Tribolium castaneum: one gene and its partners. The main gene of each other region encodes a partner of the protein of the gene in region 3 in a complex. Links are inferred from orthologs where the notes say so. Each region holds a gene or a part of one and is shown on either strand. Other genes may lie near its edges.

What was found.
Region 1: Cdk8 (region 3) and CycC share a complex: the UniProt entries of both Drosophila melanogaster proteins name them as parts of the cdk8 module of the Mediator complex. The link is inferred for Tribolium castaneum from reciprocal best matches to the Drosophila melanogaster genes Cdk8 and CycC.
Region 2: Cdk8 (region 3) and skd share a complex: the UniProt entries of both Drosophila melanogaster proteins name them as parts of the cdk8 module of the Mediator complex. The link is inferred for Tribolium castaneum from reciprocal best matches to the Drosophila melanogaster genes Cdk8 and skd.

The regions. Positions count from the first base shown.
Region 1 is NC_087394.1:8,425,816-8,430,122, forward strand, and holds the start of CycC (cyclin-C), read right to left. Parts: upstream 2,919-4,307; 5' UTR 2,790-2,918; coding exon 2,758-2,789; intron 2,707-2,757; coding exon 2,600-2,706; intron 2,551-2,599; coding exon 2,344-2,550; intron 504-2,343; coding exon 49-503; 3' UTR 1-48. Other genes in the region: leucine-rich repeat-containing protein 1, read left to right, coding at 3,274-3,776. UniProt on the Drosophila melanogaster protein: Component of the Mediator complex, a coactivator involved in regulated gene transcription of nearly all RNA polymerase II-dependent genes.
Region 2 is NC_087399.1:1,816,240-1,820,332, reverse strand, and holds the start of skd (mediator of RNA polymerase II transcription subunit 13), read right to left. Parts: upstream 2,865-4,093; 5' UTR 2,793-2,864; coding exon 2,724-2,792; intron 1-2,723. Other genes in the region: uncharacterized protein mRpL50, read left to right, coding at 3,093-3,247, 3,396-3,718, 3,770-3,894. UniProt on the Drosophila melanogaster protein: Component of the Mediator complex, a coactivator involved in the regulated transcription of nearly all RNA polymerase II-dependent genes.
Region 3 is NC_087397.1:11,467,990-11,471,888, forward strand, and holds Cdk8 (cyclin-dependent kinase 8), read right to left. Parts: upstream 2,425-3,899; 5' UTR 2,250-2,424; coding exon 2,031-2,249; intron 1,985-2,030; coding exon 1,329-1,984; intron 1,266-1,328; coding exon 1,084-1,265; intron 1,035-1,083; coding exon 775-1,034; intron 729-774; coding exon 633-728; 3' UTR 594-632; downstream 1-593. Other genes in the region: RpS30 (ubiquitin-like FUBI-ribosomal protein eS30 fusion protein), read right to left, coding at 16-181, 233-307; eRF1 (eukaryotic peptide chain release factor subunit 1), read left to right, coding at 2,963-3,048, 3,126-3,301. UniProt on the Drosophila melanogaster protein: Component of the Mediator complex, a coactivator involved in regulated gene transcription of nearly all RNA polymerase II-dependent genes.

The DNA of each region.
Region 1 (4,307 bases), on a different chromosome or scaffold from region 3:
TTTAAGTGATAGTTATAAGCGTAAAGTCACGTAGAAATCGTCCGATTTCTATCTTTGAGGGGCAGGTTTTGGTTTAGGCATTTTATTCAACAGTCCTTGAATTTCTTTCTTCTCGTCGTAAGTCTTCCACAGCTCGAATAAATTAATAACGTATCTTGCAATTTCTTGAATTCGTTCTATGTCCACGTTCAGTTCGGCAAACCAAGCCTTGTGGTCCTTTTGCAAGATGACACAAGCTATTTGAAGACAGCCAATTGCAATTTGATATGGTGGATAAAGCAAACACACATCAGTCCTAAGAGAATCGTTCACTATCCTCCAGGCGAGAGTCAAAAGTTGATCTTCTTGACCCATGTCTTGCACTAGTTGTAAGAGAGGTCTATAAGGCTGATAGACGATCAAGCAACAGTCGAGGTTTTCTAACAAGTAGAATTCACACTCTAGGATGTGGTTCGTACGATATGGAAATTCCTGACTATAGGCGTAACTAAACTTATTTTTAACTGAAAATAGATTGTTTAAAAAAGCTAGTTTTAACTTAGCCTCCTTCGATCTTAGACGGCTTTGAAATTATTAACGACAGAATATAATATTAATTTTTGGATTTTTAAACTGTAATTAATTAAATAACCGCGAGAGGTCGCCCTGTTGAGTGGTATGTTCTGAATACGGAGGACTATAAGTTAGGAGACCAAAAATAGTACGGCAGAGTAAAACTGAGGGCGCTACGAGCGTTATACCGTCTTGTCGCCAAATCGTTTTAAATTAATTTAAAACCAACCAATTCATTAATAACGTGGAAAAAATGTAGAAATGTTTTGCACTCTTAACAGACTAAGAAAGACTGACGACTACAAGTTTCATGACAAACATGAGAATTTTTTTATTTAATTTGTGCTTTAAGAAGACGCTGCGAATACAATTAAAGATACAGAAAAATGTTAGGAAGAAATTTGTAGAGAATTAAACTGACCTGCTAAACAAAAACCTTGTAACTACTTTTACGTATTTTTAAGTTATTTCGTGATTCTTAAATTTTCTTTAAATCGCACCTTTATGTTATATGCTTTTGAACTTTAATGAAAAAAATTAAATTGATACGCAATTTTATAGACATCTTTTTAGAGCGCTATTTTTCAATTTAAAACAATTGAAATAAAAAAATTGCTGAAGTTACTAAGCAAAAAAGTCGTAACTACAAAAAAACATTTATTAGAGAAAATTGAACACTTGAAAGCTAGATATTAGCATATAAATTAACGAAGAACAACCAATGCTTATAAATACAGTGGCGCTAATAAGTATTAATACAACTCATTTTTTTATTAAATGTGTTCTCTTTCAATTATTATTAACTTTTACTTATTTTTTGGTAAAAGTTGAGGCGGCAACGAGCTATCTTTAGATAAAGACAAGATTTACAAAGCTGACCAATTTTTTTAGTGCGATATTTTTTTTACATAATAAATTAAATTAAATTAATAAATAATTAAAAATATTAAATTTGACTTTTGGGTTCACCAATGAGACTAGCTAGTCTTAATATTCCCAGAACAAATGGAAATTTTTTTTAAACAAATAATTCGATGAATAAATTTACTTTCAGGCATATACCAAATTTCAATTAATTTTGAACATTTAAAATTTTAATTCAGTATTGTCAACAGACAGTATTTCTGGATCAGTCAATTAATAATAAACAATACTTCATTAAATAGACATTTTTAATTTTAGTTTTGGAGCAATTTATCTCAAAAAATTAAACGATTGTCCGGTAATATATTTTTAATCTTTTCAAGAGTTTCTGTTTATAAAATTTGATCCCTAAGTTCAAAAAAATTCGACGTGACTTATTTATCCAATTTTTGTCCCTCGAATAAAAATAGTATATACTTATTTATATCTGTAACCGTATTCGCAGCGTTTTGAAAATTATGGGACAGAGTGCAAATTGGTAAAAGTTTGAAATTTTTTTAAATATAGTTTATGATAAAATTTTTGCATTATGTTTATGTCCTACTATTGAGAATTTAATGCTCTATTTGCCTGTATTTTTTTTGTTTGCTGTGTGTTAACCGTTATACAAATACAACCATTTTTTCAAATTTATTGCTCTGAAAACCTTGGTAATGGAACAACAGCGTTCTCTGGCGGCATTAACGGAAATATCAAGGACAGGAACGTTTTATTTGTACGTCGTACCATATCCTAACTTTTAGATATCCGTAGTTCCGAAGTTGGATGCTTTTCGGTAATTTTTTTAACAAAAACTTGGGAAAATTATATCTGGTAACTTTTAGACCAGCCATCTAAGACCATCACGGAGACTGTGACTTAACTTACTGACTGTCTGACACGTTGTAATTAACCTAGAATTGGAAATCACCCCAAATTCTTCTACTTTGGAGGCTAGAAAAATGCAAGTGGGGGCTAACAATAACGGATCGATGCACTTAAGTGAGTTTTTTGCATAAAACCTCTTAAAATAAACCGTTGCGGTTGCTATAACTTGCTGGCGTAGCTTCAACTGTTCGCCTAGTGTTTGAATGACTGAAAAAATAAATTAAGAGAGTTGATAATAACCTAATATAAATAATACCGCTAGCAAAAAATATAAATATTTTTTGGTACTCCTCCTCCGTGAGGAGTTGGAGATCATGTTGGCGCTCCCTAATTAAATCTTGTTTGTCCAAAAGCCACTGCTGGCTGGAAAAAATTCATTTGTGATTTTGGGGCCGTTTTCATATCGTAACTTACTGGTGTGAGCTTTGCCAAAAATTTCCAGCCATTGCACAAACTAATCTGAGTTGAATTAAATCACAGGCAATAACTTTAAGCTTCCAGTCAATTATTAATTAACACAAAAGCAAAAGAAACCGGTCAAAGAAACTCAGTCAAGTGACAAGTGTCAACCAATGGAACTACTGTGGTGTTTTTTAACCTACGACCTCTTTTATTAAAACTGTAGACCTTAGAATACTAAAATTAAGTACAAACGAACGCTAATTTTTCAGTTTTGTTATTTATTTTATTTATTGTTTGTTTCGTTCGAACCATATGATACGAAAATGTTTGGTTGATTTGAACTACTTCAAATGTCAAAGCGCCACTTGTGACAACAAACAAATTATTGTTTGTGTGTTTTTTTGTGTTGGGAATGGTGTAGGGGCTCGGGCCCCCAGTTTTCTTTTTTGGATTCTTATTTATTCAAAAATGTGTGCTTGTGTACAAGTTGTGTAAATAATCAGTGAGTTTGTGCGACATAACCTCTAAATGCTTCCAAAAATGAATCCAGTGTACGATTACATTCAGCGAAACCGGGTTTTGGCAAAAATAGAAAAAGCTCATGGAACTAAAGCAACGAATTTAGCGCTAGATGATTACGACCTTGTCAAATTTCCCCCCTTGTTGGTGAGCTGTGTCCACCTCTCATATCTAAACATTGGTCATAATCAAATCACTGAACTGCCCAAGTGTCTCGGACAGCTCAAGAATTTGCAAAATTTGTCTCTGGAGTACAATAACTTCGATCGTTTCCCTGAAGTACTCAAGGATTTGCCTCAGTTGATTACTCTAAACATAAGCCATAATCCGATTAAAGACTTGACTAGAGATATTGGAAATTTAACTTCGTTAGAAACATTATGGTGTAACCGTTGCTATCTGGAGTCTTTACCTGAAGAAATTGGTAATTTAACAAAGTTGGAAACCTTGGGGGCTCGGCATAACCTGTTAACAAAGTTACCAGATGGAATCTGTAATTTAGTGCAACTGAGGTAAGTATGACACTTACCCAAAAATTAAAGAATTTTAGTTTTCGAAAAATCGACAAATTATTTTTACTTTATTCCACTCTCTTGTGAAACAAGGTCGAATTTTATCAACGAAAAAGTAGTACGAGGCGAAGCCGAGTGTGTTAATGCTTTTGGTTGGATAAAATCGTATTTTATCCACTGTCTACTTTATGGTAAAACGGAATTTTGTCGCCTAGAAAAATATAGTTCGCAACTATTGTTGTTTTTAAAGTATTTTTTATTGTTAAATTTCTTAATGTTTATAATTGTTAATCAAAATAACTCAGTAATTCGAAATAATCGAAAAAAATGGAGGAGAAATAAAATTTTGTATTTTACACGATAAAATGCACCATTATCTTCTCAAAACCTTCTCATAGTTAAAATCAGATTTTATCGTCTTGTATAATAAATAACTATTATTCTCGTGAGATTAATTACTTATCTACTAGCGCCTACTGTGTAAACTTTCTAAAAAAACAGATACAATTAAATATTATATAATTTCATGAT
Region 2 (4,093 bases), on a different chromosome or scaffold from region 3:
AAAAAACTCTCGCAGATTCACCAAAAATGTACTTAAAACTTTTGTAACAAATTCAAGATTTTTCTAGCCATTCTTCAGATGCATTAAAACCTTTTTTTTTTCAATATCTTTCAAACACTTTAGTTGCATACCGACAATTAATCCAGAAACCAAAATATTTTTATTATGCGCTTTTATAAGTTAATTGAACAATATTTGCTGCTTAGGTTCATCCTATTTCTTTCTTTTTTCTTTTGTTTTCAGTAAACTCAGAATTTATGTTTTTTTTCTTTTATTATTAGCACACGCTTTTTTAGTTTAGTTTTTTAGACACCGCATAACTGTAAAACCTTTTCTGAGAAAAATAAAACATGTACTACCCGCTTATGATTCTCTGAACAACTAATAATAACACACGTGCGTGTGACAGGCTGTCCGCTTAAAAGAGAGATTTTGTTTTCAATGATCCGAACTGAATTGTCCGCGTCCGTTTATTAGAGAGTCCCCTTAAAAGAAAAGCAATACAATAAAATACATAAAACGGAGCCAACAAAATGTTCCTTTGTTAGAGGATGCCGCTTATAGGAGGTGTCCGTTAAGAGAGATTTCACTGTATTCCGATACGAACTCGATTAAAAATTTTAAAAAATTGGATTTTTAGATAATGTGTAAATAAATAAATTATAGAACAGAATATCAAGAAATAATTATTTTACAAGACTAGTAAACGTTTACGTTTCAACAATAATACTTGTGATTTTTCCGAAATGTTATACTTTTTTGAGCTTCCAGCTTCCAAACTAATTAATTTCAAAACCGTTATTGAAATTAAATGTGTACGCCATTTATTTTCCGCGCCGCAACTTTTCCTTCAGTTTTCCTTGATTTACAAAAACAAATGGAAAAATCTCGCTCGAATGACCCAGTTCGATAAGGTCGTAATATCATGATTATTGTAACACACATTTTTACGTTCGACATTTTCGTTACTGAAAGGTATGCAACGCGATATTAACACCCGAAATTTATAGCAAGTTGTAATAAAAGTCACACATAAACTTAACACTCTGTGTAGTAAATATTAATTTATCGAATATGGCAGTAAAACGATTTATTTTTCTGACACGGAGGCGGCGTCCTGACGGCACTTCTTGTATTTTTTCAAGAATAAAACTGCCGACAGTAAAATCGGACAAATATTTATCGTACTTAAAATTGTAATAATTCGTCATGGAAAAATCATGCAACTAGTGCTAAAACGTGCAGAAAAATTTCTTTCAAACAACGGAAATGTCGCGTTCTTGTCAGACAGTCCAAAAAACTGAGCTCATTCATCACACCATTTCCTTCCATTTATTTACGTTTTCTTTCCGGAATCAGCACGACATAATTACGTTTGAAAATATTTAATTTCTCAAAGCACAAAACATCTAAAAATACCGAATTTGTTTGACGACTAAAGTGGTACAGTTAATTGTCTTATTGAATTTGTCTGCGGATTAGTAATAAATTGAGTGGCCTTCCCTGCGGCGATTTGAGCCAAATCCAGAGCCCCATCAAGGTCATTTTTTCTTATCTCGGCTATTTACCAACAATACGTTAAAAAAATACAGAGGTTCGAGATAACCCAATGAATTCACGCACGGGGGTTAGGAATACGGAATTATAGACCACTTGTAGATTTCTTCACGAAAATGCACTCCGATAAGATATCAATGTTATCGGTGACGTAACACAACGGAATCTTTCGCCATTTAAATGCCATTCCCAGATATTAAAGAAAGAGTCAAAGTGATAAACAAATGTGTCGCTTGTTTATACACCTGATAAGGAACCAACTTGTTGAACATTACGGTTCTGGAAAACATGTAAAGCGATCGCAATTTTGTTTATTTAGTTCAGTTGTGTTGCAAAGTGCTTGTCCACTTCTCCCGATGTGTTTGAAACAAAGTCTTGCGATAATAACACGATAAGCTCAAGGTCGATGTGTTTAACCTCTTGTCTAACGAGGATATCGACAAGAGACCAGGGGCGTCGTCAATTTCGAAAATCGCGCCAACACAAACGTGTCAAAACACAATTAGGTTATGTTAGAATAACGAACTCTAATTAATCTGTGATTTCTTCAGCCATTAAGCAAACTTTCTAAAAGTAAAGCGGAACTGATTGCGGCAAAACAAACACCCGAAGTGGGTTATCCCCCGAAAAATCGTCCAGTCCCGAGGGGTTTTACCCCGTTTTCGAAAAAATAGTCCAGTTTATTATTAAAAATGTAGGCTGGCCTGTTAATCAGCTGCGTTTTACCATAGACTGTACGCCTGTCACTAGCCGCTTCGGCGCGACGTTGCCACTTGGCAGCCCACATACGTCAATGTCAAATATCTCGGAGCGAAGGCATGCGGAACATGCCTGGGGGCCGTCTCGGGACGCTTTGGGCCCCGCGGGCACGTTCCCGGGCGGGCATTGGGGCGCACATGCCCGCCCTAGAAAGGCACGAGCAGAATCGGGACCGTTACGTGCAAGCGCGGCAACAGCGCCTCGCGTTCGTTCACACGAAATGCAAAAGAAATTGTCTTGTCTTTTCGGAAAATTCGCGCAAAACGCTGCGAAAACGCAGGGCATGTCCGGAAAATGCCCTCAAAGGGAGGGGGAACTGTTGATAATTATGTCACAGCGGCGGGGAAAGTCCGGCGAACGTAAACACTGTCGCAGTGTCATCGGGCAGGGGGCTGCCGGGGACTCACCAGAGCGAAGAAGTTAGTGTGGCAATCCTCTAAACTGGCCCCGTTGGTTTGAAAATTTGGGTGCGTCATGCCTGCTCCATTCTCGGCGATTTAGCACCCACGACACTTGAACTTTCCACTGCACTCACTGGCGCGTTGGGGCCCCAATTAAGCCACCATTTACCTCGATTTTCACCTTTCGAACGCAATGCAAAATGGCGGATAGGAAACAACAAGCCACACTAATTCAACAAGAGCCGAGACATTTCACAGTTTGAGCGTCCGCTCCAAGCGGCGACACACGTCGCGTGGGCTGCGCACGCGCCGGAGAGGGCCGACGGCCGGCGGCAGGTCTTAGCGCGCCGACTCGCGCCGATCTAGTCGACTGCGATGGCGGCGCTGATGAGGCATGGCGGCCTCCTGAAGCGGCCCCCGTTTGGGGCCCTAGTGCACCGCTTCGCCACCAAGGCCGAGAAGAAGAAGGGCATCGACAGGAAGCAGCCCCCGAAAATATACGCTGCGCAACAGTCTCTCGCCGCGAAAGGGTGTGTGAACCGGGTGTGCGTTCGCGCTGGACTGAGGGGAGACGTGGCGCTTCGCCCCGCTGACGCGAGGGCGCGCCACCCGACGCTCGATAAATTCGATACTGCGCGCCGTGAATTGCAAATTGTTAATATTTCAAAACATTTGCAGCTTCCTGAGGCCCTACGAGGCGTACACGCCACCGGAGGATGCCAACGAGAGGCTGGACCACATTTTTCGGGAGGTTATGGGGGCCACGGACGGCGGCACCAGGATCGGGAGCCTCGCGCAGAAATTCGATTTGTGCGCGGCCTGTGCCAAGGAATTCAACAGAGCCATTCCGAATTCAGTTTTGCACTCGGTTCAAACTTTAAATGATGTTAGGAACTTCTACCAAACGACTGTTGACGACGTTACCCCCTTGGATAAAATGCGCAACATGGAGTTGCCGGAAAATTTGCATGTTCAATACGAATATTACCGATTCCATCCAGGTACAAACTCAAGACTGAACAAATTTCAAAATTAATTGACACTTTTTACAGATACTGATAAGCTGTTCAAGGGGCAAACGGCCTTTAACCGGGAATCGACACTAGTCACAGGCTTGAAGTATAAAAATAAATATAAAGGCCACACGGAACGGCAAGAGTGGCCCTTCACTTCGTAAATGTAGTTTTTGTTGAATAAAGAATTTTAGAAAAAAATATTCTCTCTGTACCCCTGACACATATGCCACCAACAGCTCACGAAATAACCATTTTAATATGTGTGACTTTTTAACTCAAATTTTCTTGCCCAGCCTTCTAATTTTCTATTTTCTATGCATTACTTTTCAACAAAAACCCGTGAAGTCTTTAATAAAAACA
Region 3 (3,899 bases):
CTAACAAAAAATTACCTGCACGTGCCAAAGAACCGTGGACTTTACCACCCAACAAACCAACAGTCAACTCAATATCAGTATTTTCGAATTCTGACACCAAACTGGCATCGGCCACGGGAACACCGCTGGCGTAGAGACTGATTTCGCTGCTGTTCAGGTTTTCCAAAGCCGCAATGCGATCCTAAAATTGACCACTTGGAGAGAACATAACCTCACACTTTGATAAAATTACCTTGATTTCAGCAATGGTCTCATTGCTCTGGCACTCAAGCACGTGCGTTGATAGTCCGCGAAAGCACAACTGCATTTTGCTCGGTTCTGGAAGAGAAAAAACAATTTTTATTGCATCACATGGTGATTTTTACAAGCGCTTAAGTCTCGACTAGCACTAATTTTATTCAAAGGGACAACAACCGCACACATAGTACGACCCCAATCTTCAATTTTTGACCCAAAAGTCATAAAAATTTGATATAAAACGGAAAAACATACCTACCGCAAGCACTAATTTGACAAAAGGAATTCAAAATGGCGGATTCGAGGAAACGGAAATGATAGTCAGAAACTAAAATCCCTAAATAAAAAGCGCTCGATACGATTTATAGAAATTTATTAATGTCTTAAACCTAAATTTAAAATCTTTGTTGAAAATTCTGTTGTTGTTGCGACCCGTTATTATACATCATCTGCTGCTGATGAAACTCCTGTTGTTGCGATATTGGAATAGCCTAAAAATCAGTCATTACTTTGCCACTTAAATCAGAGAAACCCTACTTGTGGATTGACTTGGCCGGGATGGGCATTCCCCGACAATCTCACACGTTTTGAGGGATTCCCGTGATTATCCCCATTTCCAGATTGTTGCTGTTGGGATTGCTGTTGTTGTTGCTGCTGCTGCTGTTGTTGCTGTTGCTGGGATTGCTGCTGTTGTTGTTGTTGCTGTTGCTGCTGGTTTTGACGTTGCTTACTTTCAGCCTTCTCTTCCTGATCGTCATCAGTCAAAAATTCGCGCTTGGGATATGGGATTGGACAACCTGTGATTATTTATTGTTTTTTTTTATTTGAGAAATTTGTTAAACTGACCCGCGAAAACGTCCTGCGTAGGTAGAGGGTCTTCAGAAAAGTAGGCATCTTGCATCGCTTGTTCTGAAGTAATTCGTTTATTTGGGTCCATTAATAATAACTTTTGTAATAAGTGAAACGCTTTACTGTCAGGTTTAATCTTATGTCTATCCATGTATTTTACTAACGAACAGTTGATATAGCTGGAAAAGATTAACAAAATGACAAAAATTAATTGGCAACAATTTAATTTCCATTGTCTGTACCTTTGTTTTTTAAAATCTTTAACTAGTGTGGGATGTTCGGGCATTTTTTTGATATCTTCCCAGTCCTTTTCAAGGGGGAATCCCATAACGTTAAAAATCCTGTCTAACTGGTCATGATGGTACGGATTGCTGGTTTTGATGTCTTCTTGCCGACAATGAAAAATTGGTTCTGAGGTCAACAGTTCGGCAAAAATGCATCCAATGGCCCAAATATCAATTGCTTTCGTGTAATGGCGAGCTCCGAGCAATAATTCTGGCGCTCGGTACCAAAAAGTGACCACAACGGGGTCCAAATCAGCTAGAGGTTTCAATGGTGCGTTAAAAAGTCTCGCAAAACCCATATCTGCGATTTTAACACGTCCTCTCTCCGGCCCTTCACCCATAACCAGAATATTAGCCGGTTTTAAGTCCCTGTGTAACACCCAATTTGAGTGCAAATAATGAATTCCGTCTAAAATTTGGTAAAGCAATGACTTCACCATTCCTTTAGGGACCATGACTGGCTTCTTATTAGCTTTAGCGGCTCTGTGAAATTTAATAATGTGCCACAGGTCGTGTTCGGCGAAGTCGAATAAAAGCCACACTTTTCTATCATTGTGAGATAAAAAGACTCTAATTAACGTGATAACGTTTGGGTGTTTCAATTCCCTTAAAAGCTATAAGGCAATAAGGTTTATTAATAATACAGCACGCGATTTTTACCGCTATTTCTCTGCATGCTGACATGGATAGTCCTGTCCCCTCGATCTGTTTTAGGGCATAGTCTCGATTGTCCGACCCGTCTTTCCGCCGCCCTTTATACACATGGCCGTACGTGCCCCGACCTACCTTACAACCTTCGTAATCGAACAAATCCTCCACCTTTACCCGCTCATTCTGAGTCTTCATTTTAAATTCGTAGTCCATCATGAGAGTTGTCATAATATTCAATTGATCAGAAATTAGAGCACTTCGCGAGAAGTGCCAAGTTTATATGATAACACCGGTGATTCCCTAACAAATTTGCACTTCACTATTGGGAAGAACAGGAATGTTTGTAAATAATAATAATTAATCAAAATTTGTTTTTGACAAACGTCAACGTCTTGTCAAATGTCTAACCGCGACGAGCATGCGCAAAAACAACGCACAAACTAAAGAAAAAATGAAATTTAATTTTTAAATATCTACTGTTAATTTAATAATTAATTGCAATCAATACGTGGAAGTTTGTCGAATCAAGCAGAAGAAGTATCAATTATTTGAAATAATTATGATTTTGTGGTCCCGAGGTCGGGTTGGGCAACGTGGCGTGTCGAAATTCCCCCAGTTTGATTGAATAAATGGGAAATTCCGGTCGGAAAGTTGGGAAATCGTAGGGTCCTTTTCGAATTTCCTTCTGCGAGAGGCTGTCACCTGCCAGTTTTATTTTGTGATTCCCTTTGTTTCGGCATGTGAGTGACTGGAATATTTTTTCCCGCACTAACCAAGTCTCCGGGTCGCGCATTTCTGGTTATAACCAGTTAAAGTGGTTAAGTTACCTGCATAACCAGTGAAAAGTGACTCAATCAAGTAGTTCGTCGGCATTGGAGACCGCGCCATTTTGCATCGGGTCACATTTTTCGTATTTTTAGTTCATACGAAATCCAGCAGAAATGTCAGGAGAGGAGACTTCAGCCGACCGTAATGTAGAAATCTGGAAAATAAAGAAACTGATCAAAAGTTTGGAACTGGCGAGAGGGTAAGTGCAACGTGGTTAGAAATCCTTCAACATATGCCCACGAGTTTCAAGTAAACGGTTTTTTTGGCCTTTTGCAGCAATGGAACCAGCATGATTTCGTTAATTATACCGCCCAAAGATCAAATCTCGAGAGTTAGCAAAATGTTAGCTGATGAATTCGGCACAGCCTCCAATATCAAGTCGAGAGTTAACAGATTGTCAGTCTTGGGGGCTATCACCTCAGTCCAGCATCGCCTCAAACTCTACACAAAAGGTAAGCGCGAGGAGCCCCAGCCTGTGACACACCCTACCAAAATACCAGCGTTGAGCAATCGTTTATAATTAAAAATGCATACTTTGTACAGTTTATTATTTTAAAAACGAGCCTTTCATGATCACTTAGATTGCATGATATCCGCTTTAGGTAAACCCTAATTTTCCAAGCTGAGATTGCAAAAATAAATTGCTACCAATTAATTAAGTGGTGAATCCCGCTAATTTAAAACAAATTGAAAAATCTTTACTCATTCAGTTGTCATTTCCGATCCAACTATTAGCTGTTTCAAAACTATAAAAACGCCAACGTCCCATTTTACCGAATTATTTTTTAAATAAGGTTGATACAATTGTAAAATACTTATTAATAATTAGGTCTCTCATTAAAAATATAAATTACATTAGCTATTAATTATATGAAGTGCATGAGTAATTTATTTATTTATTTAGCTAATTCTGAGAGAAAATGCAATGTTTTATAGTTTTGAAACAGCCATTTATAGATTTTACAGTCCGTTCAGTCAGTACCTGAAATTTTTCGCTAGCTTCAATAGTTTCGAACTATAAGACAGTTATTCAGAGTGGTTTTATTTATT